Linked DNA regions of Alligator mississippiensis. Each later gene encodes a partner of the first gene's protein in a complex. Links are inferred from orthologs where the notes say so. Each region holds a gene or a part of one and is shown in the gene's direction. Other genes may lie near its edges.

Region 1 (14,597 bases):
CCCCTGAAGAAATGGCAAAAACATCATCTAACGTAACAATAATATAATCAATATTCTTTTTCTGATTTAAATTGCACTGTACCTTGATTTGTGAAAAGTGGTAAAAGAATGTTCATTTTTAAATGTATATTATGTCTGTACTTGCCTAATGAGCAGAATTAAACTTGGAAAGGTCTAATACTTTATTATGACGTTCCAGGTAGTTTTTATATTTTGCAGCATTGTGAGTGAACATTTCTACATGTCTTTCCCATACCTTTTTATATGTTTGTTCATATCTTCCATTTGTTCAGTATATACAATGGAAGCTATTACAATTTTGTTACTACATTAGTACAAATGACATTAGGTTGAGATAACAGGAGGGTCTTCAGTATTCTCTGCTCTGTGTATTGGCTGATTGGACAATCATGGTTAGCAAAATATGTTCTGTAACATTTCTAAGATTTACCTTAAGTATACCATGCATGGTAGTGTTTTATTCCTTGCGTTGTTATCGAAGATGGAGACTTTTAATGTGCTAAGTAATGTAAATAGTATTCATGACAGAGAAATAATTCAGGATCGTATATGCATAAGTATAATCTATTTTTATGATGTAATATATTACAAATCAGGTCAAGAAGAAAAGCTACTTTTCCTATATTCATTTCAGTATTTCTATTTTGGTAGAATCTATAAAGTTATACCAGTTACACAGAGGCAGATAGTTTTTGTTCAGAATAGTTTGCATTCAGAAAAAGAAAACTGGCAAAAAAGGGATAAAATATACAATCCAGGTATGACTTGCTAAACTGACTGTTCCCACTTCTTAACCATTGTTAGTTGAATGTGCTTCTGATTGACATTATATACAGCATCAGATCAGTTCAGGTATGGGTGCCTAGAGTGGAAGGAAAAACACTGGGGAGAGCAATGCTAACTATGGAAGAAGTAGAAATATGCTTTTGGTTGACTTTTAAAAGTAAGCAAACTTAAAAATTACATCTGTGCCCTTCACCTCCATCTCTAAAAGAAGCTATATAAAGTACATTTTTAGTTTTAATTTACCATTATTACCCATACCATAGCAACAGTGTAAATAAGCATTGAACAAACCCTAGCTTGTTAAAGTCTAGAAAACAGACAGCTTTTATTTAATACTTGAGTCACTTGTTTTCCTAAATTATCTAAATGCTACCAGACAGTGTGCATGCAATTTGTATCCTCAACACAAATGTGAATTGCTTTAGCTATATTAAGAGTCAGTGCTAATAGTAACCACTCTTATTGTCAACAATATTGAATCATGAAGTGAGAGAGCCTGATTATGACCACAGAGTGTGAGGAGCCTTACAAAACGAATGCACCAAAGCCATCTCTCCAGTTTGGTTAACTTTTACTAGTGCATATGTATAAATCCCTTACTTAGTTTAGCTGCAGCAAGTAATTAAATCAGTTTGCTTGGTCAAAAATAGTTTAATGGAAGAAAAATATGTATGGAAAAAGGATTTTTTTTTTTTTCTTTTTCATGCTAAAATACAATGGCTCATAAGGGTGAATTCTCTAAATGTAGCCTTTTTGTTATTACAGGTAAGCCCTCATTCAGAAAAGCACTTCATCACATGTTTAATTTTGTCCTAATTTAAGCCTGTGCTTAAATTCTGTTGACATCAATAAATAAAGCTGCTTTCCTGAAAAGGTGCTCTATGACTAGAAGTACAAGGTACTACACATGCTTGGATACATAATTAACTGACTGTAAAAAAAAAAAATTACTGACTGTAGAAGTAAAATATCTCTGTAATACAGAGTAGTGGTAGTGTTGGAGTGATGATCCAGGAAATATACATCATGCAGGGATAACACCCACAAAGATCCTTGCCCTTCTGTTCCAGAGTAACTTTCAGAAGTATTCCTTCCTGGGTTTTAAACAAAGGTGTGTGGTGTCTTATATTGTTGCCCATCTACCTGGTAAGTGTTTTGTTTTTTTTCTGTAGTGATGCAGCTAAGAGCCCTTACAATTCCTTGAGTAACCATGAAAATATTTCTACATTTTCTTTGGCTACAGTTTGATTTGGCTCTATTTTCTGACTTCCTTGTGGTATCCTGCTCTTTCAGTATTGTGTGGCATGCCTTTTTTTTCTTTCTCCTGTATTATGTAGAAATAGCAAACAATTGCACAGAAAAAGGTTTTGATGCATCATAACATTCATTTTACTGGTGTATTCTAATAGTCACAACACATAGTTCCTACACCTTGTTGCTCTTCCCCCTGAACCATCTAGATTTGAACCTAAGTAAAGCCCAAGAGAAAGTAAAATGAATATATTGTAGCCACTTAAGTGGGACAAGCATTGCTATCTTGCTTTTTTAGCAGTAGAACTGACCATGCAGTTTATTATTCATGAAAAGGTATAAATTCAGCTCAGTAAATAGTTGTTTCAAGAGCTATTGTGATTTTCGATTAAATGAGTACGCTCAGCATAAAATATGGGTTTACAAGGCAGAAGCTAAACTCTAACATGAGACGATTGGCTTTTGTTTTCTTCTTCCCCCTCAGTATAAACTGACACTGCAAAGGGCTCTTTATGCTTTCATTGTATGGGTAGTACCTAGATGGGCCCTTAATTGTCAGAGCAGTTTTTGTGCATAGGAGTTTATGGTTGGGAGGAAGAAAACCAAGATTTATGACCATTTAGACCTGTTTATGCCATGCACTTTCTCTATACAATCCTTGGTCCCCCAAGCCCTACCTTCTCACCTTTAGTGTCTGTAGGATTTCCAGTAGTAAAACCGAAAGCCTGCATGTTGTCATGAATATATAGGCATAAGAACATATCCTATATGCATAGGGTTATTACACTGAGGAGCAAGATACTCACCAGCACCACACACTAATTTTCCATCCTTTGTTGTGTCTTAGAGGTGGCATTAGTGGTCGTATTGAACAGCATGGATGAAAAATTAAATTTTAGTAAGAGTGCAACCATAGGCTTTGAAATCTCTGGGAAGGGAGATGGAGAGCACATAAACCAGTGTTATTAATGTTTCTGTAATGTTGTAAATGGTATTTCTATTGGTAGCACAGTGGGGAATTAGTCTTTTTTTTTATTTTTGCCAGGAATCCTTTCCAGCTGGAACATCAGTCAGTCACAAGTGAAGGGTATTGTCTGCACATACACACTTCCAAACTTTACAGTAACAAGTTATTTACTAGTGACTTTCAAGTTTTAAGCAGCAGCTATTATGGATAGTTGTTTAGAAGACTGAATAATATGTTAAAACTGCCAAGAGTCAGATTAATGGTTAGCTATGTTAATTGAAAAATGCAGTAGGAATTAGACAACTTAATCTGTGCCAGCTTTCATTTGTATAAAACAGTGGGACCCAACCTTTTTTGGCTGGCATATCTCTAGGTAAGCTCTACACTCCTCCCAAGTGCCATGCCACTCCCCTTCCCCCGCTTAGCCTGTTGTGCTGCTTTGTTTCCTGCCCTATTTGTCCTTGTGCTTGCTACTCCCTCTCTGATATGCCATATGCCACACACACAAGCTGCCTCGTGCCATTTATGGCACTTGTGCTGCAGGGTGGCCACCATCAGATAGAATATACCATCTTAGGGAAAAATATGAAAGAGTATGTGTTTAACTATGAGAAGTATGAATTATGCGTATGTTTGAGAAGTGAGGACCATGATTACAGGATTTACACAGTCACCTTTGGGTTTAAAAGTAGGGATGGTGTCAGTCTTTTATAAAAGGTTTATGATAGATTTCAAATGAATTGGACAAAGTAGACTAACTGCTAATAGAGTCATTGTGAAAAGTTACCCAGTGCACAAGCACTTTTTCCTTTTTGCTCTAATCTGTGGAAACACTTATGACTGTCTACTGATCCATGTTTACACTTTCCCAGCCCCAAATTTTGAAACTGTGAAACACAAAGATAAGCTGGAATTTTAAATAAGGAAAAAACGACTAATATAGCTGCCCTTATGTCCGTTCTCAGGTAAAATTATGAGTAATATAGCACAAATGTATTTGACACTTGATATTTGTGGACAATCTCCCAGTTGTAAGGGTAGATATATATTGAGCGGGATGAATTCATCTATATAGTATGAAATAATATGCATGTCAGCATCTCCTGGCTAATCGGTGATGTCAATCTTGGGTGCTCTGTGGTGACAAACCAGGCTGAATTTTTGAACCCCTCAAATCCCAAGACATGGCATTTGAAATTAGCAGAGATGTACCTATATCTCCATTCATATTTCACTTCATCACTTTTTTTTTTAATGTGCAACTTGTGCAAGAGGCACTTTTGCCAAAAATAATACCAGTGCCTCCTGCACATGGCAGGCTCAAACCAGGATTAGTATGTCCTGTTGACAGTAAGTTTTATAATATTGTTCAGTCCATATAGTTTACAATAGAACCATGCGGAAGTGTAAAGTATATGCAAGAATCATATTCAGTATTTAAATAAAACTGATATTTCAAATTCAGAATTACTCTCAGAATGTTCAAGTGATGCATTTTCTTCTGGTTTTTTTTTTTTCTTTATTCAGTTCAAGTAGGAGTTTCTTTTAAAGAACTTTTTAATTCTATATCTTGTAAACTAAGCATAAATGTTGCAGTATATGTGCTAACCATGGCAGTTTTTACAAACACTTTCATTCTATTCTGGTTTTTACAATACAATTGATTTTACAAAACACATTTTCTATTTTTATGTACTGACATATGCAATAAATTGATACATTAAAAGTGCTACTAATGTCTTGTTCCTATTTGTTTGACCTGTCTTCAGTATGAATGTAGTCTTCTGATTGTATGGTAACTGCTGTGTGTTTAACAGGCAGAGATTTTGAAATGATTCACTGAATAAGTCAATGTACCTAGAGGATAGAGGCTGCCCATGTTGGATGCCAGATTCTTGAAAAGCTTCTGTTACTTCAGAGGAAGATAGTAAATCAATTACTAAATTAGTGACATTGATTCCTGAACCTAATAACTTGGCCTCCCTCTCTGAAAGTAACAGTATTGAATCTAGACTTGGCCATCCATTGCACCTTATTACATTTGCAAAAAGATTCAGTGCAGGCATCTTCAACCCCCAGCACACATGCCAGACCATGGTATGAGGCCAGTTTGCTCAGCATGCCATAGCCAGCCCACTCTGGGCAGCTGGTGCCAGCCATAGAGCCTGGGCTGCTCACAATCAGACAGCGGGGAGGTCCCAAGCCCTGCTGCAAGCAGCCTGGGCTCTATGGCTGACAGCAGCTGCCCAGAGCCCTGGCCAGCTATGGCAGGGAAATGGGAGGCTGCAAACAGCTGCTCCAGGACTCTTGGCTGGGTTCTGGGGCAGTGCAGCTGCACACAAACCTCATGGCAAACGGTAGGGAAGGGCTGGGGTTATGCTGCTCTAGGCCCCTCCCTCACCGTCAACCCGGAGTCACATGTGCACCCACCACCAGCCTGGAGCTGGTGCTGAGGCTCTGGAGCCTGATGCAACTGTTTGCAGCCTTGCAGCTGTCTGCCATAGCCAGCCTGAGTTCTAGCCAGCTGCAGCAGGCAGGCTGCAAATAGCTACCTGGGCTCCAGGCTGGTGGGAACTGCACTTGTGATCTAAGTCGCAGGGTAGGGAAGGGGCCGAGGCAGCACAACCCTGGCCTGCTCCCTCACAGTTCACCCAGAGGCACATGTGCAGGTGCTGCCAGCAATGAGGATCAGGCTGTGACCCCCTCACCCCAGTCTGCCCCAGCATGCCAAATCAAGGCATGGGGTATGTTTGGTGTTCCAGCCAAAATGGTTATCAACCTCTGATTTAGGCTGTCTCCATCTTACCCAGAGGACTGAGACCTGTTGGAATACTTTGCTACTTGAACTGGTTTGAAAATGAGGTGAAAATACAAAGCCAATGTAAAAACCTCTTAAGTCACCTTTGGAGTAAGCATCCTGAGACCAGTTAAAAATTTGCTAGTTATATACCTGGTCTTATCTAGGCTTTTCTTGTTCTTAATGTGTTCTCAGAACTATGATATTGTAGAGCAGAGAGTGGTAGTTAGCCATGTTAGCTTGAAGCCAGGCAGAAAGCAAGGTAAAGACGAACCTTAGGCATCTCTGTTCCAGTTCACCACTTCACTTTTGTGAATAAGAGCTCACTTCATCTTTTGTGTTTAAATCACTGTTTATTTTATAGCTTGCTCTGCATATATCCGTTCATAGTATCTTGCCCACGAAAGCTTATGCATTTATTATTCAATTAGCCATTACTTAGCAGTTTACCTTTCTCTCAGTCTTCTTTGTATCAGGCTAGCCTCAAGGTACATCTCAAGGTACATCTGGCTGCCTATACTATCATTGATAAGCCACTAAGTTCAGAAAAAGTGACTAACAGTTAGTTTTGTTCATTGCAGCTATTTAGTGATAGAGTGTTTTGTTTTGTTTTTTTTCTTTTTTCTCTACACTTAATAAATTTGGTGCTTTTCTCTCCTGATTCACAAAACTGGTCATAGTACTACTTTCACCCATTTCTCTTCATACCTAGAGAGTGCATCTAAATGTATGTACTATTAGCACAGAGCAGTAAACTCTGGTGCATATTGTACCAGGAGTTTATTGCTCTTGGGCACTGTCTTCATGTGCATCTGGGACCGCAGCATGTTAAGCCGGGTCAGAGCAGCCCTGGCTGGCAGGGGACCCTGGGGATCAGCCTGCCAGTCCAAGGGCTGCTCCTACTTGGCTCAACGTGCTGCAGAGGGGTTTGCTGAGGCATGAGGGTGCTCCAGTGCAGGGCTAGCTGGCAGACAGCCCTTCACTGAAGCACACTCATGCCCCAGCCAGCCCCATCAGTGTGTTCACATGTGTTGCTGTGCACTAAAGAATGCCGCAGCAGGACAATACTTGTATTTACAAGTACTAACCCTTGGCAGAGTTCATTAGTTTTCTGCAGTCTAATAGGACCTCATATGTAGACGCTGAGATGTTCAGGCAGCTCCACAGTAAATGTCTCATGTCAATGTGCTCATGGAGAACAGAAACTTGAAACCTGCTATTGGAGCTTCCAAAATTCTCATCCATTTCGTTCTAAGGTAAACAACTATAAAAGTAAAATGAAAGGATAAATGCAAGGAAGAGCTGTGTCACTTATAAAACATTGTACCTGAATGCACAATACTGCTGTGAATGTTCCTCATGCACACAGGTAATGTAAATAGCTACTGCCCTGAAGAACTAGGTCTAATTTTTGAAAGGTAGTTAAATACACTTAATTACTAGACAATTGATTTTATCAAGTACAGAATAAAAGGCACTTGGATTGCTTGACATATAAAAAACCTGGATGCAATGAAACTATACATCATAGTTCATAAAAGCCATTTACCGTAATATTTAAATACTGAATACTTTTAAAATATAAAAAGAGGATGTAAAAGTTCTTATTAAATGTATACAAATACGTGCTTTCAGTACTACTACATTAAATTATATATTGCATGCATGCAATGTGTGTATACAATATAAGTAGTGCAATGTGATAAACAGGCTGATAAATGTATTTATATATAGATGGCACAAATTAAGTCAACAGAAACATTAGATAAAAGGAATATAATATTTGCACTACATGAATTCGGAGGAGGCTGCACTACTGAGAAGTCAAAACAAGGGTGAAGAGCTGCCTGTCTGTGAATAAGGCATAGTCGGAAACCATGAGTTTGAGTATTTCTCAAAACCTTTTCTCTGTTCAGTAGAAAAACCTGTTGACAGTATCTATAATTGTGGTTATGTCTGTCTTGTGCATTCAAAATATCTGGGCATGTCATCTGGTTTGCTTTTTCAGGTAGTTTAATTATAACTAAAATGAAACAGCATTGATTAAACAGCGTAAGACTGGGATGTTTAATATTTGAAACTTGAAGTATTGTGTTGACAGGGTTACATACAGGTCATGAATATGTTGTCTGTCCCCCACCCCCCTTCAAGTATTTTATAACTACACTAATGCCCCTGGCAGGTGTGAAAATAAGGGCACAATTGGGATCTGAGGAATTTCATGCCCCATCCCAAACATCATGTGTCCTGCTATGCACATCTGATGCTTGGGATAAAGCATAACAATTCTTAATCCAAATCATGCAACTGCTAGGGCCATATTGGCACCTGAGGCACTGTCCAGCCTGATTCCAGGGATCAAGCAGGGGGCAGCTCTATCCTGGATTAACACATATTGCAATATTTGCCAGGGCCCTAGGAGTGGCTTTTAATCAGGGGAAGGAAGCACTTTTGGGAGTTAGGGAATTCTAGGTCATGGAATTCATTGCAAATTAATGTTGAAAATATCTTTATCATTTTGTTTATGTTGAATATGGTTAAAAATGTAAATCCCAGTACCTTAAAAATTGGTACCTAGTCATAAGGACCAGGATTTTTTTAGAGGTACTAATTGGTCTCCGATATTAATTATTCAGTGTGAGGAACTGTTTGAAGGGTTTTATTTTCTCTCGAGTCTTCCTAAAAGACTCCTTAAATGTTTTAAGTTAGGAATCCCAAATAACTAGTTGCATCAGAATATCTTGGAAATAGCTTCTTTTTTTTTTTTTCTTCGAATCTAATTTCATGATATGGCAACATGATTATATGCCATTAGTAAGTGGAAGTATAAAAATGTGTGCGCACACTGACATGGGAGAAGTTTACTTTTCTGTCAGCCTCAGGCTGTGCGTGGGTGTATGTCATGAGGTATTTTGTGTGTTTAGGCATTTTGGCACTTGTGTATTTGTGTTTAGGATTTGCAGGCTTTCTTTTGAATAAAAACCCTAGTGTTACACCCCAAGAAAGTGCAAACTTTCAAAAATAGGAAGATAAATAATTTGTGCAATGACATCATTGCATTATGTTCAATGTCCTAGATAAATACTGCCTCTCAATTCAGGAAGCAGCAAAGGAACTAACTCCACCTGCTGTCTTGGACAGGCAAAGACTGTTTTATCTTCCAGCTCACTGTGCCAACCATTTACAAAATTTGAAAGTGAAAGGCAACACAGAGGCAGTCAACTTCTGTTCCACATCGACTCAGCAGCAGTGTATAGAAAGATCTGGCTGTGAGTATATAATGTTATGCCTTGGCACTACTAAGACCCTGAGACCTATGCTCCCTGCTGCTAATGGGTTTGTATGAGTACTTTGGCCTATGAGATTGGGAGACCATCTGCTTCCAGATGGCACAGGAGGGCTTCTTGTTTATATCACGTTATCAACTCATTTTTAGCTCAGCAGTGCTGAAGGTCTAAGAGAAATGCAACCATATTTTTTTTATGCTGTTGAGTATGAAACTACTCATAATTCAGGCCATGATAAGCTTTGTGTTGTCCAGCTCAAGCCAAATGGACTTAGGGGTTTCCTTTAAATGGAAACTTCCAAAATATAAATCTGCTCAAATGTCTCTGATTGTTTTACTTTCTGTTTGTAACCTGCTTCCTCTGTGCCCCCCCCCGCCTCCTGCCAATCCCCCTTCCTCCCCAGTTTTCAATATTAGTCTTTTTCTAATCTCTCCTCTTTCTGTTCTATTCTCTGCCTTCTCTTTCAATCCATTCTAATAGCCACATTTACCAAGCATTCAATGGGCTAGTAGATGCAGGTTGTCCATCAATTTGCTTTGTATACTGGGGTGAATAACAAGGAATAGTCCTGCATTTGCAGGAGAAGAGGTTCTGAGAAAACTGCTATTGCAATCAGCCTGAATAGAACTAAGTGCTATGCCTTTTATGAAGGAGGTAAGTGGGATACTAGAATCTATGTTGGAAAGAAGGAAAAACAAAGGGGAATAAAATAGCATTACACAAAGTACAGCAGAGAAGCCAGGAAACCACATTTTACTGTCCAAAAAGAAATGCATATTCAGTATTGATCCTGATTTTTATAGAATTTGGTACAAAATTTCTTATCACTTTTGAATTAGGAAGTTGTATGCTCTTTTTGAACCTGGCTATGTTATGGGTTATTTTGCTATATTACTCTCTCTAAATGCTACCAAAATGGGTGGCTCCTTTACACTTCTTATTCTTCAGTTATCTACAATGTACTGTGCCTAGTCCTGTGTCAAAAGTACTGAAGAGGCAGGGTGAAAAAGATATAATTTATATATGTGTATTAACCTGATAATTTAAATAAAAAATTAAAATATATATTTTTTTATTTTAAACAAATAATATATTACATGCTTTTGCCTAAAACGTATGGGCAGCACTCCACTCACTGCCAGCATTAAGGTTATTGATTTAAAAAATGAACATATGCAAAATGCACAGCCAAGATGGCTCTATTTGGAGTTTCATCGTTATGCCAGGTCCTGCATGAGTTGGAGACTTCCTGAATTGTGTATCATGTGGGCAGTTGCTAATGATTGAAGGTGCTATGAATCACCTTAGCAGAAATGTGCACTTTGTCTCAGAAAACTCTGCATATGCCTCTTAAGTAGGAGCAAAGCAAATATAACCTCTTTTCTTTATGGGGAACAAATGTATCAGATATGGACAGAAGCTGATAGACCACTTTGGAAATAAAGGCATCCCAAGAGAGTACTTGGAATAACCTGTTTGGTAAGATGAATACTCACTTTTCTAATCCCTCCCCTGGTATCTCTGCTGCTTTGTGCCATCTTGTGCACCCAGGTAGGCCAGGCTGGCTTTACACCCTTATAGAGGAACCCATGCTGTATTGTATTACTTAATGTCTATTAATCCTTCTGCTTATGGAGTACAACTGTAGCCTGGCTTGGACTTCAGTGAATGCCTAATCTACATAATAGCACTGACATGTTCCCCCCCGCCCCTTTTTTTTTTAAATAAATATTTTTCAAATTTGTTTTTAAACTCTTGGGGCTCATCCAGGTGAGCGCACACGTGCATCATGTAGCGTCTCAAACTCCTTTGAAATGCTGCAAGAGGCATGTGCAGGAACAAGAAAACATTCCCTGTGCTGCAAATTTGCAGCACAGGGGCAAAATTAGACCCCTGGATATCCAGGGGTCAAAAAACCCGCAGTGGAACAAAGTGGGGCAGGGCATGGTCCTGGGCTGTACCCTGAGGTAACTGAAGGCTGGGTCCTACACAGAAATGCTCTGGTAGCAGCCAGAACATCTCTATGGCTGGCCCTCACCCTGGTGCTGAAGCACGCTGCCTGCCCATGTTGAGGTGGAGGGGCAAGCATCAGGGGCCTGGGTGTGCAAGCAGGGGATGGGGCCAGGCCATGCAGGGGTTTTGGGGGCTGGGTGGGGCAGCCATTGGGGGGCTGCAGGAGCTGGCGGGGGATTGGGCCAGGTGGGGCAGCAATCCGAGGGGCTGGGGGAGCAACTGGGGGGGTGGGGCATGTGGGCCCTGCAGGAGAAGTAGCCCCTGCAGGAGCCATTTGGCCCCCGTGGGGGGACTGTGGCTCCTGTGGGGGGCAACAAAACATATAGGTATTTAGAATTCATTTTATTCTGATGATAGAGACACTAGTAAGCGTCCAAATTGCTTTAACACTGTAGATATATCAATAAAACATTGCCCAACTGATCTCTGTGTCTCACTCTATATAGTGGTCATTTGTTTTAATTGTGGAGGAACATGGATTTCAGGGTATTTTACAGAGTGACTTTGGGATTTTTTTATCAGGGATTTTTCAGTTTCCCAATAGGGAACACCAGAATTCCTGCTAGGGAGGGCAGTGGCAGGACCCTGCCTGCTCAGAGCTGAAACCTTGGACCCAGATGGAGGTAGCTGACCTCCTGGCCACTTGGGGTCAGAAGGATATGCTTTGACAGTTCAGAGCAGGCCACCATGCTGGGAACATCTTCCAGGCGATACATGCCCAGATGGCCAGGTAGAGGGCACACATGGTAGTAGTACCCTGCAGCCACAGCCCACTGGCAGCTGGCCCAGAGGTGCACGTGCCTCTACTGGCTGTGCCATCCCCATCTGGGTCGCAGGTGTGCAGCAGGTCACAGTCAGGCAGTAGCCCCCACTGCCAGACTGCTGCAGTGGGTAGAGGGTACAGGGAACTCTCAGGGCTGTTCCAGCTGGTACAAGGGATAGTGTCCACAGGTACCAATTGGCTGGGCCCCAGAAGTCCCTGAGAGGGAGTAGCCCTGAGCTACTTGTCAGGGCAGGTTCTTGTACTGATGGGAACAGCACAGGTGCTGGCCCTGGCTGCAAATCCAGGAGAAGCCAGGCAGGGTTATTTTGCCCCAAGTGGCACAACTTACCCTACACCAAAGTACATGTCTGGGCATGTGCGCTGAGGCAAAAATCCCTGGCTCAAACTTGTACCGCTTCTATCTGAGCTGCTGCAAGCGCATGTGCTTGCATGTGTGAATGCGCCCTTAGATTGTTATCCCCGAGCCATCTTTCAAATGCATGAGTCATCTCACCCTCTTATTCAAGATTCATGTTAAAACAAGTACATCTCATAATGAAGTTTCCTACAGAGAAAGAATGCTTTTGTGGTGATGGCACTGTACTGGAACTCAGCATATTTTGGTTTCAGTTCCTGATTTGACCACAACCTTTCTGTGTTGACCATGGGCAAGCTTTTTTTTTCATGAAATGAAATTTTCAGTTAAACATCCCAGAAAGGTTTTAGCTAGTTGTTAGTAATTTTGGATTACTCCCTTACAACCCCTTCCCCCATCGCTTTGGGCCCAACCCCATTCCCCCCGGTGGTTCAGGTCCAGGCCCATTCTACCCCCTGCCTCATTCCCCTGCCACAGTGGGTCTGACCCCAGTCTCCCCCTTGCCACCATGGTCCCAACCCCATTTCCCACCCCACCTTGTGCCGCCTCCAAGGAGCCTCCATCCCCACTGTCATGGCAGTGCTCCACCACATGTGTCTCTGTGCAGAGCGCTCTGATTGGTTGTTTCAGTAAGCATTGTGATTGGCTGCCAAGACAACCAATCAGAGTGCAAATAAAGTGTTACAGACAGACAGACTAAGGTTTTTATATAGAATTTTCTTCTAGCACCCAGATCATAGCATCTGAGCACCTTGCACTAGTATATTAATATGCTTAACATCAGTTATGAATAGCTTGTTCTTTTTTTTATCATGTACACTTAGAATGTTTTTATGCAGCAGTGTTGGAGAATGCAAAGTCAAGGTCAGAGGAGAAAAAAAGCACACTTCACATACCAGTGGAAGGTAGTGAGATTACTACCCACAGGTGTTTGTTATAGTCTTGGATCCACCCCAGAGAAAGCCTTGTGACAGAAAGTTCTACTAAACCGCTAACTGCAATCCTCATTCCTGAGTCTTACGCCTAGACCTTCAGCTAGATAATTGAGGACCTTGAAAATTGACTGATATAAAATTGTTATAAAATGAAGCAGGTAGATTTACATTTATTTCCTATGTTTGGAATTAGCTGCTCTATGTTCTTTTCTCAGTCATTGGTATAATCCCTTGTCCAAATGCTTGAACTCTTATCATAGAATAAAAAAATGCATTCAATAAATTGTACTAAGTTATTCTCTCTCAAGTTGTTAGAAATAAAGTTGTTAAAAATACTTGCAACTTTCTACTATTGAACTTTCTACCTACCTGTGAGCCTGCAACTTTCTATCATTGATGAGATGGCAACACTGCCACTTCACTTGGGAAACTTTTTGTCTTGTAGCCTTTCTTCCCTACCCTCCTGATGATAAGAATTATCTCATTTGCCTAGATGTATTTCCACTCTTAGAAAAATAACAGATTTCTTTGTTTAAAGATTATACTATATCAGTTAGTATCAGAAAGAATATGCCACCCTACCAGTAAGCCTTTCATTTCTTCTGCCCTGTTAGATAAGCTGCAGGATATAACTGGTATCAGTTGTGTCTGAATATAAAGGCAGTGGCAAGTTGCCATAAAAATTAATAGTTGAAAGAAAAATGAGGAAGGTAGATTAAGCAAGCAGTCTGATGGCAAATATGAATTGCCAAAATGCAGAGCAGAAAGGAGAAAACTAAGGGGAGACTGGATCTTAGACAGACACTCACCCTGTTCATTAAACTTGAATGTTTGTATCAACAGCTTCATATGACAGGAAATGATCTGGCCGTTTTGGTCACTTATTCTGGATGCCCTTAGTTTCACAGTGCAACTGACAAAATGGATTATACCTCAGAAGAAGCTGCAACTGAATATTCCCTCTGACTTTAGTAAGGAAAGTGCAAGGATGAAATCTGTGGACTATTTGCACACCGTCCAACAGAAGGATACCAACTCCTCTCCTCCTGCCCCCCATGCTGTTGGGTTGAGCAACAAGGGACTTTTCTCTGTCACATTCCTGTGGCTTGCAATGCTCCTGTCCTCTTGTCTTGCAGCAGTGTCTCTTTACTATGTTATCACACTGAAAGCAGAATTAGCAACTCTCCGCAGCGAGCTGATCTACAAGGTTCAGAAAAGATCACCACTAACCCAGCCATTGGTATCTCTGGACAAGCATAAAGTGGATATCCCTACTTTCTCCTCCTTGCAGATAGCAGCAAGTACCAAGCAGGTGAGTTTCAGTGGCCTCTCAGACCTGTTATTGACTGCCAGGAAGAGGAGGGGGTAAGCATTCTGGACCGCTTCTATTGCTATAGTTTT
Region 2 (16,136 bases), on another chromosome or scaffold:
AAAGATCAATCGTCCCTACAGGATATAGAGAGAGACTGATATATGCGAGGCCATGGAGGAAGGGACACGTATGCAGGCCCAAACTGTAAACCCCAGTCTCACAGTGGTAGGTAGTTACCAGTAGTTCCAAGAAAATCAATGAAGCTTTTTCCATGAGTAAGTGTTCCCCCATGTGAACACAGAATTTACTCTCTAGCTGCACAGAAAGGTGCAAGCAAGGAGATGGTAAAAGAAACTGCAAATAAAAGGACTCAGAAGCTGAAAGGAAAATTGTAGAGAGTGACAGAAAAGAGTAGAATAATTAATCAGAATCACTAATACTGTGTACTTAGGCAGCGGCATCTTTCAGCACAGTCGGATCTCACAGCAATTTGCAAACATCAGCAAGTCAGCATCCCTGTGCTGTGGACTAAGTATTATCATTCCCTTTTTTTTCATATAGGTGCCCAAATAGGAACATTTTGGTGTCAAGCTCTATTAAAAACCCCATGGCAAAATACAGATTTATATGGCTTAATTTAGACCCCTGAGTTTGAAAATATGGCCCTGAGGGAGTTGTCCAAGGTCCCAGAGTTAATTCACAGGGAAAATAAACCTAGGAGTCAGGATTCCTGTCTTCCTAAAGGAGCAATGAAGCAGAAGAGAGTGAGATCTGTGAAAAGAGAAGGGTGAGATGGGTGGAGGGAGATGAGGAAAATGAAGATACTGAAATGGGGGGCTTGGGATCATTGAGAGAAAGACAATTGGAACAGAATAGAAACAAATGGACTGTGTGAGTGTCAGGGTAGAGAGAACCAGCTTGGTAGTAGGTAAATGTTGCTCTTGGTGAAGACAAGAGGAAGTATAATTAATGCAAGATAAAGGAACTCTGAATTATTTGCTTGCTGATACATACTTTCAGAGAAGGGGTTCTGAAGACCAATGTAGTTAATCATTATATGGGTGTAAGCAGCCTACTAAACTGACTCACTGCATCACCCCAAAGCCGTGGGTGAGGCAGGAACATGACTAATAAGGATGGCTGTGATGGTGTCATTGAACTGAACCAGGGCATTATCTTTTTTTTTTCTGATCCCTACGTGCACATCCAAGGGCTTGAGAAACAGGATTTAAATCAGCGTATGTATGTATATATACATATACACATATGTATATGTTCATATATATTGGTACCTATATGCCTATACATACATGTATACGGAGACACTGGGACTCTGCTGGAGTAACTATTTAGTGAAAACATGTTGGGCTTGGTGTTCTGAAGCTGGGGCTGGATTACTGCTGTTGGCAATAGACTCTTTTTCTGAAAGGGCTCTAGCAGAGATTTGTTACTTCTAACAGAGCCACTGCACCAGTGGGGCATGTGTAAGTCCATCTCTGCCTGGCTCTCTGAAGTGTGGCATACAATGTGTGCTGATACTACAGCCCTGGACATGCTGCACACAGCCCACAGGAATGGTTTTCATTTCCTAGTCTCTGTCTTTGAACTTTGCTGGTGCATGGTAGCAGAGTGGTTTAGGCATCTTACTACAGCTCCATAGGCATGGGTTTGAGCCATGCCAAAGTCTGTCCATAAAACTGGCTGTAAGTAGGGACCCAGTCTTTTAGGCTGGGAAGTCAAAGACAGCTGGATCTGATGCTCTTGACATACCACTCCTTTATGTGCTGCTGACTCTACAAGCTGATGTATCTTAAGCATAGTAGCTCAGTGCTCTAGTGCTTAATCACTCTTATGCTTAGATTAAGTTGCTAGCACTCCTGGTGTGGAGAAAACCTTGAAAACACAACCCAGAAGAACCCTAAAGCCTCAGCAGCTCGAAAACAAAGGAAAAACCCATTTTATATATATATATATATATATATATATATATATATATATATATATATATATTTAAATATTATTTTTCGGACATGTGATTTGAGGCAGGGAGGTATTGATTCACAATGTCTGGATGCTCTGAACTAGCAGTGCTGGGGATGAGTGAAAAGTATGGAATGAAAAGTAAAGAAGCCAGAGACTGCGCTGGTATGCATACAAGGTAGGCAGTCAGCGAAGATGTAAATTGAGGAGTCAGTGTGTAAGAGACAGCCTGGGTGGTGGGGAAAGAAGGGGGATGAATAGCGGAGAAGTACCTGGGGAGTCAGATGTCAGGCAGGTTATAATGTGCCATAAATCCAATGTCTATATTTAGTCCATGAGTTTTAGTATCCAGGAGGTTGATGAAATGGAGTTCATAGGCTCGTCTCTGGGAAGTGTTGTGTAAGTTTCCTTTGAGGATCAGGACTGAGAGATTGGAGAGAGAGTGGTTTTCTTGTGAGAAATGTGCCCCCACCGGTAATTGGGTATTCCTGTCTTTGATAGATTTCCAGTGTGGGTTCATTCTGGTGTTCAGTTGTTGTTTGGTCTCTCCTACTTATTTTCCATCAGGGCATTTGGTGCATTGGATGAGGTATGTTACATTTCTGGAGGTTCAGCTGTAAGATCCGGGAATGCTGATGGCTCTGTTGTGGGGTGTAGTAATAGTGGGGCAGGTTTTGCATTTCTTGTCATGGCACAGTCTGGATCCATTTGGTGTGTTCTGGGCCTGAGGAAGTTTGCTTCTGGTGATGAAGTTAGCGAGGTTCAGTGCTTGTTTGAAGGCTAGGATGGGTGGCTCTGGCAAGATCTCTTTAAGAATGGGGTCTCTTTCTAGTATGGGTTGCAATTGTTTGAGGATTTTCCGTATGGATTCAAGGGAGAGGTGATAGGTCATAACCAGCGGTGTGCGATTTGTCGCGTGATTTCTTCTGTACTGCAGCAATTCTTCACATGGTATCTGGGTGGCTCTTTCAAACGTGCGATCTGTCTCTCTGGAGGAGTGTGCTTGTTTGGTCTTTTTAAGATTGGTGAGGTGGCAATCCCGGGTGTTCTTCTCAGTGCAAATTCAGTGGTATCTGAGGGCTTGGCTGCATATCACAGATTTTTTGGTGTGGTTAGGGTAATTGCTGGTTCTGTGCAGGTATGTATGTTGGTCTGTGGGTTTCTTGTGTAATGTGGCCTGTATTTTATCATTCTGGATACTAATCATCATATCTAAAAAGGAGATGTTGGTGCTGGAGTATTCAAGAGATAGTCAGATGGAGGGATGGTGACTATTGAATTTCTGATGGAACTCAATCAGAGATTGCAGGTTTTCAGTCCAAATGCTGATGTCATCGATATATCTTAAGTATAGCAAGGGTTTGATGGTGTCGTCCTTCCAGGTGGCTTATAAAAAGCTTTGCATACTGTGGGGCCATTTTGGTCCCCATAGCTGCTCCCATGGTCTGGAGGAAGTGTTGGTTATTAAAAGTGAAATTGTTGTGTGTGAGGATGAAGTGTATAAGGTCAGAATGGTTCTTTTTACTGCCCCTCAACCCAAACAACTGGGCTGACTGGTGCTTCTGCTGGTACTTAGCAGCCTCTCAGGTACCTTCCCAGAGGGCTCTGTTCATGGACTCAGGGGCAAACCAATTGCCAGTTTTGGAGTCAGGATGGAATTTTTTTCTGCCAGGTCAGGTTGTATTGAAGGGGATTTTGGGGCCTCCCTGGGCACATCTACACGAGGCATTTACTGTGGAGTAGACTAATTAGCTCTGCAGTAAATGTCTCACATCTACACGTGCAACCCTATTATGCTGCAGGAAACTAATTAACTCTGCAGCAGTGTAGTACTTGTAAAAACAACTACTATCCTGCTGCAGAGTTTTTTTTACTTTGTAGCAGTTCACTTGTAGATGCTGATATGGGCTGGCTGGGGCACAAGGGTGATTCAGTGTGAGGACTGACTGCTGGCTAGCCCCACACTGGAGCATTCTTGTGCACCAGCCAGCCCCTCTGTAGCACATTAAGCCAGGTTGGAGCAGCCCCGGGCTAGCAAGCTGACCTTCCCCTCCCACCCTCCATAAGTCCCCTGCCAGCTGGGGCTGCTCCAATCCAGCTCAACGTGTTGCAGTCCCGGGCACACGTGCAAACAGTGCGCCCAGAAGCAATAAACTCCAGCGTGATAAGCTTTACCTTAATAGCACATGCAGACATGCCCCCTCTGTAGCCCAGGATATGGTCCTCTTCTTAGATCATCTGACCATTCCCTGCTCTTACAGTGGTTGTCTGTGAGTGCAGAGGACTAGACTTAATGGCCTGGCAGGCTCTTTCCAATCCTACATTCATAACTATAGCACATGATTTTGGAGGAGTCCTTTTCCCACCCCATCCACTCACCCTGCTCCTTTAAGAGTGTAGCATCAAGGCAATAAAAAGCATGCCCACAATGCCCTCTGCTGTTGGAAAAAAGCATGCACCCACCTGACAGTCCTGACCTTCAGCAGGGATACCCATGCAGGGGAGAACAGTGCAGAAGGCAGGAAAGGGGCATATCCTCATATCCAAGCAACAGAGCAAGAGAAACCATGCAAGAATCCCTCCCAGCTTTCCTCAGGCCTGCAGAGATATTTCTGCTATGTTTCCTTTCCAACTGAACCAAACCAAACTTGCATGTGGGACAATTCTGAGTGCTGTGGGGTTTTATTTCAGGTGGTCTGAGAAGATAAAGCTGGGGCCGTATGGATGAGACAGACCAAAGGGAAATCTAGATGAATGTCAGAAAGCATCGCTCTTCTCGCCCCCTTTTTAACTCTTAGCTGTCAGCCCAATAAGTTGCAAATTCAAAGTAACAGGCAGGAAGGTGCTTCAGTGGCCGGGAGAAGAGTGTGGTTTAAATGCACAGGCTGGGTAGATGAAAAAAAGGAAGCAAAATAAGTTGGTTCAACACAGACAAATAAAAGACACGTGATGTTGCACATGAGTCAACTTTGTTCTGAGGCACCTGTGGCTCTGAAGATCAGAGAGGGGAGTGGTTTAGTAAACCCAGGCCCATGCCGAGAGTTCTAGTTTTCCTGATACTTGTGTGCAGCATTGAAACATAAGCACAGAAACCACCACTGAGATACCAAAAGGAGATCTGCAGACCCATCTAAGGGGAAAACAAACCTTAATTTGGCAAGGAAGTCCATTCAGAGTGAGCTAAAGCAAGAGGCTTAACAGAAACTGAGTAGCCAGCTGAGAAGGGGGAGGTGAGAACTGCAGCCCAGAGAATGAGACGATATATTTTCAAGTGAAAAAGGAAGTGAAATTACATGAGATGTGGGACTAGCGGACAGTGACCAAAGGAGGGTTTTAGTCTCGACTTTCACTTGCTTGGACTCCTTCAGCAAGTAATGCTCTTCTCCAGAGGTAGAATGGAGAGGAGGACAAAGGAGGTCAATCCTTGGCTCAGACAAAGCAAGTGCTGGGATATAACACTAGTGGCCTGTTGCTGTGTATAATATCCTGGGTAACCCAAAGCCTTTCTTGGAGACAGGTAGGAGGTATTATTAGTTCCACTGCTGTGGTGCACCAAGTACGAGAGTCCCACGTCACACAGTAGGGCTAGGATAGAACGTCATACTCCTGTATGCTTCCCCCACACGGTCAGACACCAAACTGGATGAACAAAGGGTCTTCTCAACAAAATGACCTTCTTGTTTCATCCCATCTGGCAGAAGCAGGATACCAGAAAAGACAGATCATGGTCTGAGTCAGGCTGACCAGAGACAGCCTGCTGGAGACAGCTTGTTTAACCTGGTAGGATACTGGAGAAGAAAGATTAATAGTCTGATCCAATGTGGAGGCTCCTTCGTTCCCATCACATCCTCCCATGAGCGACTCCCCTTCCATGTCACTGTTTGCATTATCTTAATTTTCCACTGTTGACTAGTGATGAGAGGTTGCACTCTCCAATGTGGTGGCCTGGTCTTGTATAACTGTTGTTGGTGAACATTTTAATAAGAGTTACTCAGTGGCAAGACGTGATGTTGAATGAAGGTCTGGTCAAGCCAGGGAATATGTGGCCTGAGATAAGCTGGTGTTGGGGAATATAAGTGTGTACATGTTGAGTGGGGCTTGAAAGGACTGTAACGTGTGGAGGCTAAGGGGGTGATGCATGGATAGGTTGAGAGGGGGGTATTGGCTGACAGGCACTCTGAAGAAATTGGAGGAAAGATACTGTGAGAAGATGAAACAGCCTGGAAAAGGTTAACAGCACTTGCCTGTCACCTGGGTCAGCAGACTGGAAAAGAACTAAATATGTCCTTTTTTCCAGAGGTAGGGCAGGGGAAGCAGGCCACATACCCCATCACATCCCCAGGCAAGCTGGTGGACTCATTCATTCACTATCCCAAGAACAAGCCAGAGCAACATCCAAATCTCTTTCAAGCTCTTGCTTCAAGTCACAGTTTATTATCTGAACACAAAGTAACAAAAGCCAGAATCATTCCCCTAGGACAACCAGATTCCAAGGTCCCAAAGGCATTGACTTTCCCCGCCCTATCTCATTCCACAGGTACTGGTATTGGCGGGGGCCTTTGCTGGGAGACCTTGCAGTATGCCCTGCATTCCCAAGATTAATCCTGTACCAAAATTGCAAAATTTAGGCTCTGTCAGTCTGGGGTTAGGGCAAGGGTGGGCAATTATTTTGGGTGGAGGGCCGCTTACTGAGTTTTGGCAAGTCATCGAGGGCTGCATGACAGGCTACCCAGGGCAAATTAATATTAATTTTCTAATTTTTTTAGGGGACCCATGGGCCAGATAGAATGGCTTGGCGGGCCGCATCTGGCCCATGGGCCACATTTTGCCCACCCCTGGGTTAGGGTTTTTCCACAATTCCCCTTAGCTGAGAGCAAGCTGTTTACAGAAAGCCAATATCTCTCTAAGGTCTTACATTGTACAGGAAAAGTGGATTATGATAGCTGAGGGAAGCAGTATGCAGACACAGCATGTAAATCTACTGAAACCAGGAAAGACAGAAGCTTTGTTTGTCCACCTAGTGATATAAAAGCAGGATTCAGGTGCCACAGACATCAGAACCAGATGTCTTTATTTCCCTCCTAAAGAAGACTCATTTGCTGGACCTCTGTATCCACCTTAAGCTTGGGAGCCTAATTCAGAAGGGGCAGCTCTGAATCTCTGAACCGCTGTGCAACACAGTGAAGAAGGAACCGAAGAGTACACTCCAGTTAGGAGAACAGAGAAGCCTAAGAGCAGCCCAGTTATATGGGTTCTGTAGCTAGGTAAGATTATCTGAGTCTGCATTGGCTTTAGAAAGTAAATGCAACGTCCAACTTGAATGTCTGTCCCATGCTTCAGGTGGATAAGACATTGGAAAGACTAAAAACAGGTCACATGTATAACCACTCTGGTCTTGGCCAAGGGACAGTAGCAACTGCCCTTGATCCCAGAGTCCAGGGAAATAGTGACCTTTGCTACCACATTTGGATTATACTAGTTTCAGAGACAGCTCTCTGGCTTTGGCTCTATTTGAGTGGCTAGTGGATTGGGTACGCTTCTATCATTAAGTCTATCTCAAAGAGGTGGTCGTAACCTATTCGAGTATAGTCCAAAGAGCTGTGGAAGGATTATAGAGGTACAACAGTCCTGTAGGGCAATAGACTAGACACAAGGTCTCCCACGGTCAAAAAAACCCCTCATGCTGCAGGGTAGCAGCACGGGGAACACCTGCATGTGTGGTGCCACAGACAGGTCTGCGGTGCCACTTACCACACATCTGTGCTCATCTGGATGTGGCCCAAGAAGTTAGGTTGCTCCCCTGGGAAGAGACCAGTCAGGTCTCTGGCCTTGCGAGAATCCTTGGTCCCACCTACACAATAATTCCTCAGTTCTCCCTGGGAATACCTCACTTAACAAGTCTTCTGTCCAATTAGGTGCCATGGAAGATGCATTTACTTTCTATTCGTGCAGATGCTTTTTGAGACACCAAAAGGATCCTCTGCTGTGTAGTCTAGACTTCTCTGTGGAGTTTGTGCTATAGATCAATATCTCTGAATAGGGCCCTGGGATCATCTTCTCACACACAGCAGTTAGAAGAGTAAGAGCAGTTGTGCTACCCACAAAGAAGAATAATTTGGTTGTGCAGAGTGTTCAGCAGTAAATTAGGTAATATCTCTTTAGGTATTTATTGCCTTTCCCTCTCCTTGCCAAGCGCACACCTCTGACATGGTTACAACCCGCAAGGGAGAGTAAATCTTGGCTACCCTAGTCTTCAGATCTAGACTTTTATCATATACTAGACCCCTACAATCCAAGCAGAATACTGTTGGCACCTCCTGGCATGCTAACAGACATGGGAGAAATGCATTTTGTTGCACATGGGATTAGACAGGAAAAACATGTTGGTTTATGGAAACAGACTTTTTTACTTATTTCAAAAGTCTGTTCCCAGTACAGCAGGAAATGGGTTGTCATTGCAAATGGGAGAGGGATAACATGTAAGAAAAAACATAGGAGTGGATGCAAAGGTGATGTTATAATATGTTAGCTAAATATAATGTAGTTTATGTAAAAGGTAATGGTATGTCTAAGTATCTGTATCTGCTAAGTACCTGCTCTTATATACAAGCTCTAAATTTCCAGAAAGCCCTGGCTTATTAAGTAATGAGAAAGAAAGTAAGAGAGTTAAACTGCTAATGTTGTCAGTGTGGCATGTGCTTAGAATTAGAAAAAAGAATAAAATAGAGCAAGAGGGAGGGAGGATATCTTTGCTAGTGCTAGCTGGATCTGCTGACGTCAACCAGCATGGGACAGCTAGAATTTTTCCCTCGCTAGCCCAAGGCTTACATCTTCTGATCAAATGCTTGCAACTACTGCAATTACTGCAAGGTACAATCATTACTAAATGCTGCAACATTACCAGCTAATGTATAGTTAGTATGTGATACTTCACACCACCTGATGCAACCCACATGAACTCCTCCAAGGAGGTGAGGACCCTTGGATGAAGAGGATGTTCAGAACCACATCCTGGAGGGTTGTGGGAGGAGTGAGACAGGATTTAGTGCTGGCTGTTTAACACCTAGCACATCTTTCCTTTAAACACTCCTAAAGCTTTTCTTTTGGGGGTGGGAAGAAGGAAGGGATGGAGACTCAAAGGGGAAAGCCTCTGGGTTCTTGCAGCTTGTTTTACTTCATATTATTTTATGAAATGTACATTCAACTAAGACTCAGTTCCTGGAGGCAAGGGGCTGAGAGACTTGGGTGAGACACTGGTATGGGGTTAGAGGGGCACTGCTGGAGCTGATGGTGGGGGCAGTACAAGCCGAGGGGCATTGTCCAGGCTGAGCAGGTGGGGGGGTACAGATGATGGAGCATTGCAAATGAAGGTGGGGGATAGTTTTAGTCTGAGGGAGTTTTTCATGGGCAGGGCAGTGGAGGAGAATGGGCTAGAGGGTGGGGAGGGCATGCTGAGAAGGCATTGCAGGACTGACCCTGGGGAGCAGGATAGGTTTATGGGGTACACTGGCCAGATGGGAGAGAGTTCAGGCTCAGATGGAGTTGCAAAGGTGGAGGGGGGAGGAGCTGAGCGAAGGGAGTGCAGGCCCAGAGGGGAGGAGTACTGGCTGCGGGGTGTTACATGGGCAGGCTGGGCTGATGTTTTCAGCATGCATGTTTCTTCTCCTCCCACAGATAAAGGTACGCCCTGGGGGAAGCACAGAGAAGCCTCAGGGGACGGACCCAGCTTGACAGACTGTATTTCCCTCTGACAGGCCACAGAGTTCGTGATTTCACACTTGGGCGGCACTTGCCTAACTTGCTGCGCTGCACCGCAGCTCTGAATCTGACTCCAGGATGCCATTGGACTGGACAAACAAACACGCAGACATCAGCTCTGACTGTCCCCAGGACCTGTGCTTCGACAAGCTGACCAAGCAATGCCTCAGCTGCCATCTGTTTGGGATCTCCAACACAGACACAAGTGAGAGGAGGGTAGCAGGCTCTGCATCCCCTGATTGGGGCCCGTGGTGGGGATTGGGCCCCATTTGAAAGGAAAGGGATCCCAGGGACTGCACAGAGGATGGGAGAAGTGGAAATGGGATGGAAAGAATTAAGGGGGTGGGCTGCTTCTCCTGGTAGGAGGGAAAGGACAGTCATTCCCCGGCCGGAAAGTGGGATGGGGAGAAAGGGGTATATAGCCCTAACACTCAAGAAGACATGAGAGGATTGCCACCCCTGCCCCCATGGAAATGGGAAAGTTGGCAAGGGGCAAGTTTCCCCACCTCTTGCTATGGTTGTGCGTCAGCCTGGCAAAGACCCTTTTGAAGATGAAGGAGATGAGGAACTTCAGTGTGTGGTGGATGGGCAAGTGTCGGGAAGACAGTTTGTCCTTCTTGCTTTGAAAATGTTGGAGCTACCCCATGTGTTTGAACTCCCTAGCCCCCGTCCTCAAAGCTAGGGCCATCCAAGATAAGTGGCAAGACAGCTGCCTTTAAGTCCTCACTGCTCTTGGCCTTGCTTTACTTCCTTCCACAGGAGACCTCACCAGCATGGGCCCCACTCCAACTCAACTGCCCCCACATCCTTCAGGGAACATGCTAAGCCCAGTTTTGATCTTTGGCATCCCTGTTCTCATGGGGCTAGTCCTGGTATTGGCATCAGTTTGGGGATTTGTTACTTGGAAAATGAGAAGGAGGCGGAGGAAAAGGGAGAAACCAAACGAAGAATCCAAGGGTAAGTGTCTCCTGTCCCTCCCTTGTCTCATAGATGTATTCCCACACACAGACTCAGGGTCTGGAGAGGACCTTCAGGACCATCTCTAGCCTGATCTCCTACATGACAGGCCATAGAACCTCAACCAGTAGTATCTTTGTCAAGACCAACCCTTTGCAGCTGAATTAGGGGCTATCACTGGACAGATATTCTGTCCTAATTGACTAAAGACTCAGCATGAAGGACAGTTTTTCACATCCCCTGAAGTCTTTCCAATGGTTCGTTACTGTCACTTAAAAAATTGTGCCTTACTTGCAGCATACACTCTGCTGACTTTTTCTTCAAACGACTGGATTTTGTTAGGCCTTTGTCTTCTAGGCAGGAAGAAGATATCTGAGACCCATTTCCACCCTGCTTCTCTCGCAGTGCACGTGGTCCAGATCTAGTCCCTTTCCAGTGGCTGCTTTGGTTAACTTGTGCAAGAACAGGCTATCTGGATAATTTGAGAGGGTCCAGAGGAGGGCTACCTGTATGGTTAAGGGCCTGCAGGTAAGATCCTACTAGGAGACATTGAGAGACCTGAATCTCTTCAGCCTCAGCAAAAGAAGGTTGAGAGGGGATCTTGTAGCCATCTAAAAATTCATCAGGGAGGGCAGCAAGGAATAGGGGACACTCTGTTCACCAGGGCACCTCTTGAGGTTACTAAGAACAATGTCCATAAACTGACAGGGAGCAAATATAGATTAGACATTAGGAAAAATTTCTTTACAGTGAGGGTTGCCAAAATCTGGAATGGGGCTTCCAAGGGAGGTGGTGCTCTCCCCTACCTTGGAGGTCTTTAAGAGGTCATAGGCCTAGCTGACCCCAGTGCTCTTTCCTGCCCGGGGCAGGGGTCGGACTCAGTGATCTACTAAGGTCCCTTCTGACCCTAAAAATCTATGAAATGTATGATGCTAGAGGGTTCTTTACTCTAAAACAGCAGTTCCCAAACTCTGGCAGATTGTGCACCACCAATTTAAAATGATACAACCTTATGTGCCACCAGCAAATTTTTATCATATGAAGTAATTATAATAAATCTGTTAATGCGTACCACTGACAGGTTGTCTGTGTACCACTAGTGGTACGCGTACCACAGTTTGGGAACCGCTGCTCTAGAACCCTCCAGCATCTGATAAATTCTTCCTGCCTAGTTGCTTCCTAGTGGTTAAATTGCCTCTTAACCTTCTCCTCCATAAACTAATGTGACTAATTGGGCTCCATTCATAAGGTGATAAGATCTTCCAGGACTCTGAGTGAGATAAGTCAGGGCAAAATACTATTCCAGCTTTCTTCTGTCAGATCTGCCAATTTGAGGCAGAAGTTTTAAAGCTTTTGTTCAAAAAGTAAGAGTGACATTTCCAAAGTAGGTTCAACCCAGCTGAAATGTTGTGGACACAAACCTTGTCCAACTCTTATATTCCATACTTTTATCTGTATTCACAGAGTAACGAGTTCTCTTACTTGTTACAAAGGCTGCTCCATGGAAATGCAGTAGGGTTCTGTAGGAAATGTGGAAATACTCTAGAAACTGACAGACTTGAACAGAGAAGGAGAGCTTTTCCACAGTCTCGTGAAATGCCTTACAAAACTTGGTTGCAGAGTTATCAACTGCTATTTGATTCTACAAAATGGCTCATAACTCAATAGAAAAGTTGTCGTTTTTGCCAACACGTGTTCATGTTTGCAAAGCTGCACTGGTGCAAATGGATGTCAGGATTTGAAATTCTGGCCTGAGGTTTTGCACCGTTTCTCTGTAAAGAAAATTTTCTGAATGTGTCCAGGGCAGCAAAATGGACCTGGGTCTGCAGATAAAAAAAACAACATAGTTTACAAGGCTGGCCCTCTAAGAAGCTAGGAACTCTCAATTCACAGCGAGAGTTTAGGGCTCTGAGCACTGCCCAGGAATCAGTCCCTCTCAGAGGCATGAGCTATCCCTTCCATCTCAATGGACTGTTGGCTCCAAAGCAATGGTTCTCAACATTTTTAGACTTGAGGCAGCCCTCGGAAAATGTCAACTCTTAGTTTTCACTTGATTTTTGACTACAGGAAAATACTGGAGCCATTCTTCTGTTGCAAAGAACTCAGAAAGATTACAGCCGATTAGCATGCTTTTGACACTATGGATTGCTATTTGAAAGCTCTGGGTTTATCTTGTGAATCATGTATGCATACCTAACAGTGCTAACCTTGCCAGGGATCCCACAGCACCCTTGAAAGGATCTCAAGGTACCCAAGGATGGGTACCTTGAGATCCTTTCTTGTAACCTTATTTCTTGTAACCCAAATAATGGGTTACAAGAAATAATGGCCACAAGCTAGCAGAGAGCAGATTTAGACTAGACATTAGGAAGAATTTCTTCACGGTTAGAGTGGCCGAAGTCTGGAATGGGCTCCCAAGGGAGGTGGTGCTCTCCCCTACCCTGGGGGTCTTCAAGAGGAGGTTAGATAGGCATCTAGCTGGCGTCATCTAGACCCAGCACTCTTTCCTGCCTATGCAGGGGGTCGGACTCGATGATCTATTGAGGTCCCTTCCGACCCTAGCATCTATGAATCTATGAATCTATAAGGATATCGTGGCATTCTGGTTAAGAATCACTGCTCTAAAACTTGAAGGTGACAATGTGGAGTCTAATCTTAAAAAAACAATAATGGAGGCATATAGGCACTATAAATATGTGAGTAAAGCTGGTAGTTGTATAGGCCTCAGTCTTTTTTTCATTCACTGTTTTGCTGATGATCATTTCTGCAGAAACATCCAGCTCTGTGCTTATCAGAGAATCTAGAAATAAAAGAGTGCCCATCAGCCCATCTCTCCCTTCCCAGGGAGCCATTCCCTGCAGTGTGTTCTCCAGAACCTTGTCCCAAGCCACCGACCTCTGCTTTTCCCCTGTGATGGCACTCTACAGGATAATTCTCTTCACAGTCTGAAAGGGTTCCCAGATTTTTTTCCCAACCTATGTTTTTCCCTTTTTTTAAACTTTTCTCTCATTACCCTTGGCTATAGGTCAGGGCCAACCCAAAGTAAGCCATCAGGGAAAGGGGAACAGAAACCAAGGGCAGGGGAGTGAATCAGCCATCAGGCTAGAGGATGAGGAGGACACAGGGCATGCTCCACTGCATTCCTCCTTTGACTCCTGGGTCTTTGAAGAGGGCTTGGATGGAGCAGGAGAGGAGCAGGAGGAACTCTTGTCCCCCAGCACAGAGCATATGTGGGTATTAGTGGCTGGGGGAGGAGCAGCAGCCATTACTGTGAGGCTTCCTGCTCCCCCTTTTTTCCTTTCTTTGGCTTCTGTCCTCATTTCATTTGCTAACTCCCCACCTCACCCCATCCCCCATTCAGCAGATCTGTTTTACCATGAAAAGTTAATGACACCACTTTCAGGAAGACAGGTGTCCTGCTCCGTCCTCCCCGCCCCCCTCCTGATGGGGCATAGCTGACCTTCCTTCTGCTTTTCTCAGGTGTACTGCTCCCTGATGGAAAGACATGGCCATAGCAAGGTGTGGCCATGTCTTTTTCCCCTAGGAAGCCCATGCCTCATCGCTGACTCAACCCCATGCTCTCATTTCGGAAACTTACGCTTCATTTCACATCTCTGAGCATATCAGAGTCTTCCGGGGAGAGATGTAGATGTGCTTTCCTGTATTTTTCACCCTTCTGCTTCTGCTTGTGAGTTTCTGCAAAGCCAAGGTTTTGGAGATGGAGGGAGAGAGCGGTGGGGGAAGAACAGGAAAATTCCCTGTGGAAAGCATATTGATTAAACCAGCCCTGTGGGTCCCAGTATGATGTTGCTGGTTACGTGGCTATCTTCCTCATAGTATTTGTGAAAGCCAGGGTGAAAAATCATTTGCAGCCTTTCAGTTTTGAGGCGGAATTTTTATCAAATGTAGTTAAGGAAATCTTAAAAGAAATCTAAAAGATTTTTCTAAAAGAAATCTAACCGTGAACAAGTTAGGAAATGACAAGTTGAGGCGATAAGCATGAAGAATCAAATATTCTGTGTTCAGACATCCTTGAATGAGGCCCCACACATTAGGTATTCCATTTGCATGTACCTTTGACTCTGAGCCCAAGACCTAACCACCAAGAAAGACGCCACTTCAGTTCTGCACATAAAGAAAGTTTCATATGACTCCAAACCAAAAGTTTCAGCATCAGAGCAGGTACACGTATTTTGGGTGCATAAACAATTCTATTTTTAAGTGATACTTTCAGGAGAAAATCTCTCTTCCTAATACTATAGGGAAGAAAATCTCTCTTCCCTAATAGCAAACAAAAAATAATTTGAGGCAAAAATCTTTTTTTTCTTTTCCAAAGCAAGAGGTGGCGTGCAAACTGAGGTTGCAGGGGAACACCGGCTGAGGCCGTAACTCCAGAGAGCCATCTGCCTCTTTACCTCCTGTCTTTGAGAGGGCACTGGGCATGTGGGGGTCCAGCAGAGGAATGGGCTTTGAAGTGCTGGTGAGGAATAGTCATGGCACCACTGGAAGGACTGATGGCTGTCTTGGAGGCTTGTCTGCATTAGAGGGATCAGTCAATGCTAATGCAGTTGGTTGTTCCATCATCGCCCTCTGAATTCGTGGCAGATTTGCCTCTGCATTCACCCTTTAATTGTTTTAAATGGATTTAGCGGAGGCAGTTGTTATCTATGATAGAAAACAGGTTCCTGAAGTGATGAAGCTCCTTTATATGCTGACTGAGTGTCCACCTTTCTGCTTCTTCACCCGCACCCCCATAAGTACTAGCCTCCCCAGAAACATCTTCTACATTTCCACCCCCTTCATCCATTCCCCCCCACCCTTGAAATGCACTTTCTGTATTCCACAGACTCTCAAACAGCAATCTCACTGGGTATCCTGCTCACTGAGACTATAACCTGTGTCCATCCAGAGCCTGCCTCAGTATATCCTTCCCTCAGACATGCTCCTATCTCCCCAGTGCATATGCTGGTCCCTCATTTCCTTTCCTCTGTAGTGATTCTCTGGAGAGGTGCAGGTCTCTGAAGAAGCAGGTCTGGGAGCTGAGGCAGGGCCCCCATGTCTGCTGGAGAAGGTGATATAGTTGTTGGTTGGCTCACCAAGCTTCTACTGTGCCAGCACATTGCATTTTCCTTTGCATGCAATTGTCTGAGTCTACTCCAAATCTGGCTATCCCAGTTCATGCCCCTATTAAAAGATTGGGGTAAATTACATGCAGTGCCTGCCCGGCAAATGCCTGAAGCTCTTCTGGATGTGGATGTAAGGTGTCCGTCAGCAGGCTGAACTGGAATCTGTTGGCAAAACTTCTTTAATGCACACCAGGCCTCTTGTGGGGATGAAAGACAGGATTTCTTCCTTGCCACACATCTCCCATTTGTCACTGAAAGTACAAGGATATTTTGACAGCAGGGGCAAGGATGAGATATTGGGGGTGCAGGATTTGACAGCCAGAGGGCATTTGGAGCTGCCTATTGATGGCAGGGGGAATGCCCACTCATGACATCCCCTAGGTTTGTAATCCCCTCCTTCACGGCACCACTCCAGCTTCATTTTGCATGATTCA

The links.
Region 2: the proteins of TNFSF13B (region 1) and TNFRSF13C are in contact, whole or in part, in a crystal structure (PDB 1OQE), measured with the Homo sapiens proteins. The link is inferred for Alligator mississippiensis from reciprocal best matches to the Homo sapiens genes TNFSF13B and TNFRSF13C. Residues at the interface, in NP_006564.1 of Homo sapiens: Ser162, Tyr163, Asp203, Thr205, Tyr206, Ala207, Met208, Gly209, His210, Leu211, Thr228, Arg231, Cys232, Ile233, Pro264, Arg265, Glu266, Asn267, Ala268; in NP_443177.1 of Homo sapiens: Asp26, Leu27, Leu28, Val29, Arg30, Val33, Leu37, Leu38, Arg39, Pro41, Arg42.

What each region holds. Positions count from the first base shown.
Region 1 is NC_081824.1:356,269,657-356,284,253, reverse strand, and holds the start of TNFSF13B (tumor necrosis factor ligand superfamily member 13B), read left to right. Parts: upstream 1-8,928; 5' UTR 8,929-9,091; intron 9,092-10,516; 5' UTR 10,517-10,588; intron 10,589-14,039; 5' UTR 14,040-14,055; coding exon 14,056-14,508; intron 14,509-14,597. Other genes in the region: protein ABHD13, read left to right, coding at 1-47. UniProt on the Homo sapiens protein: Cytokine that binds to TNFRSF13B/TACI and TNFRSF17/BCMA. TNFSF13/APRIL binds to the same 2 receptors. Together, they form a 2 ligands -2 receptors pathway involved in the stimulation of B- and T-cell function and the regulation of humoral immunity.
Region 2 is NC_081827.1:96,809,834-96,825,969, forward strand, and holds the start of TNFRSF13C (tumor necrosis factor receptor superfamily member 13C), read left to right. Parts: upstream 1-9,567; 5' UTR 9,568-9,697; coding exon 9,698-9,824; intron 9,825-10,378; coding exon 10,379-10,576; intron 10,577-16,136. UniProt on the Homo sapiens protein: B-cell receptor specific for TNFSF13B/TALL1/BAFF/BLyS. Promotes the survival of mature B-cells and the B-cell response.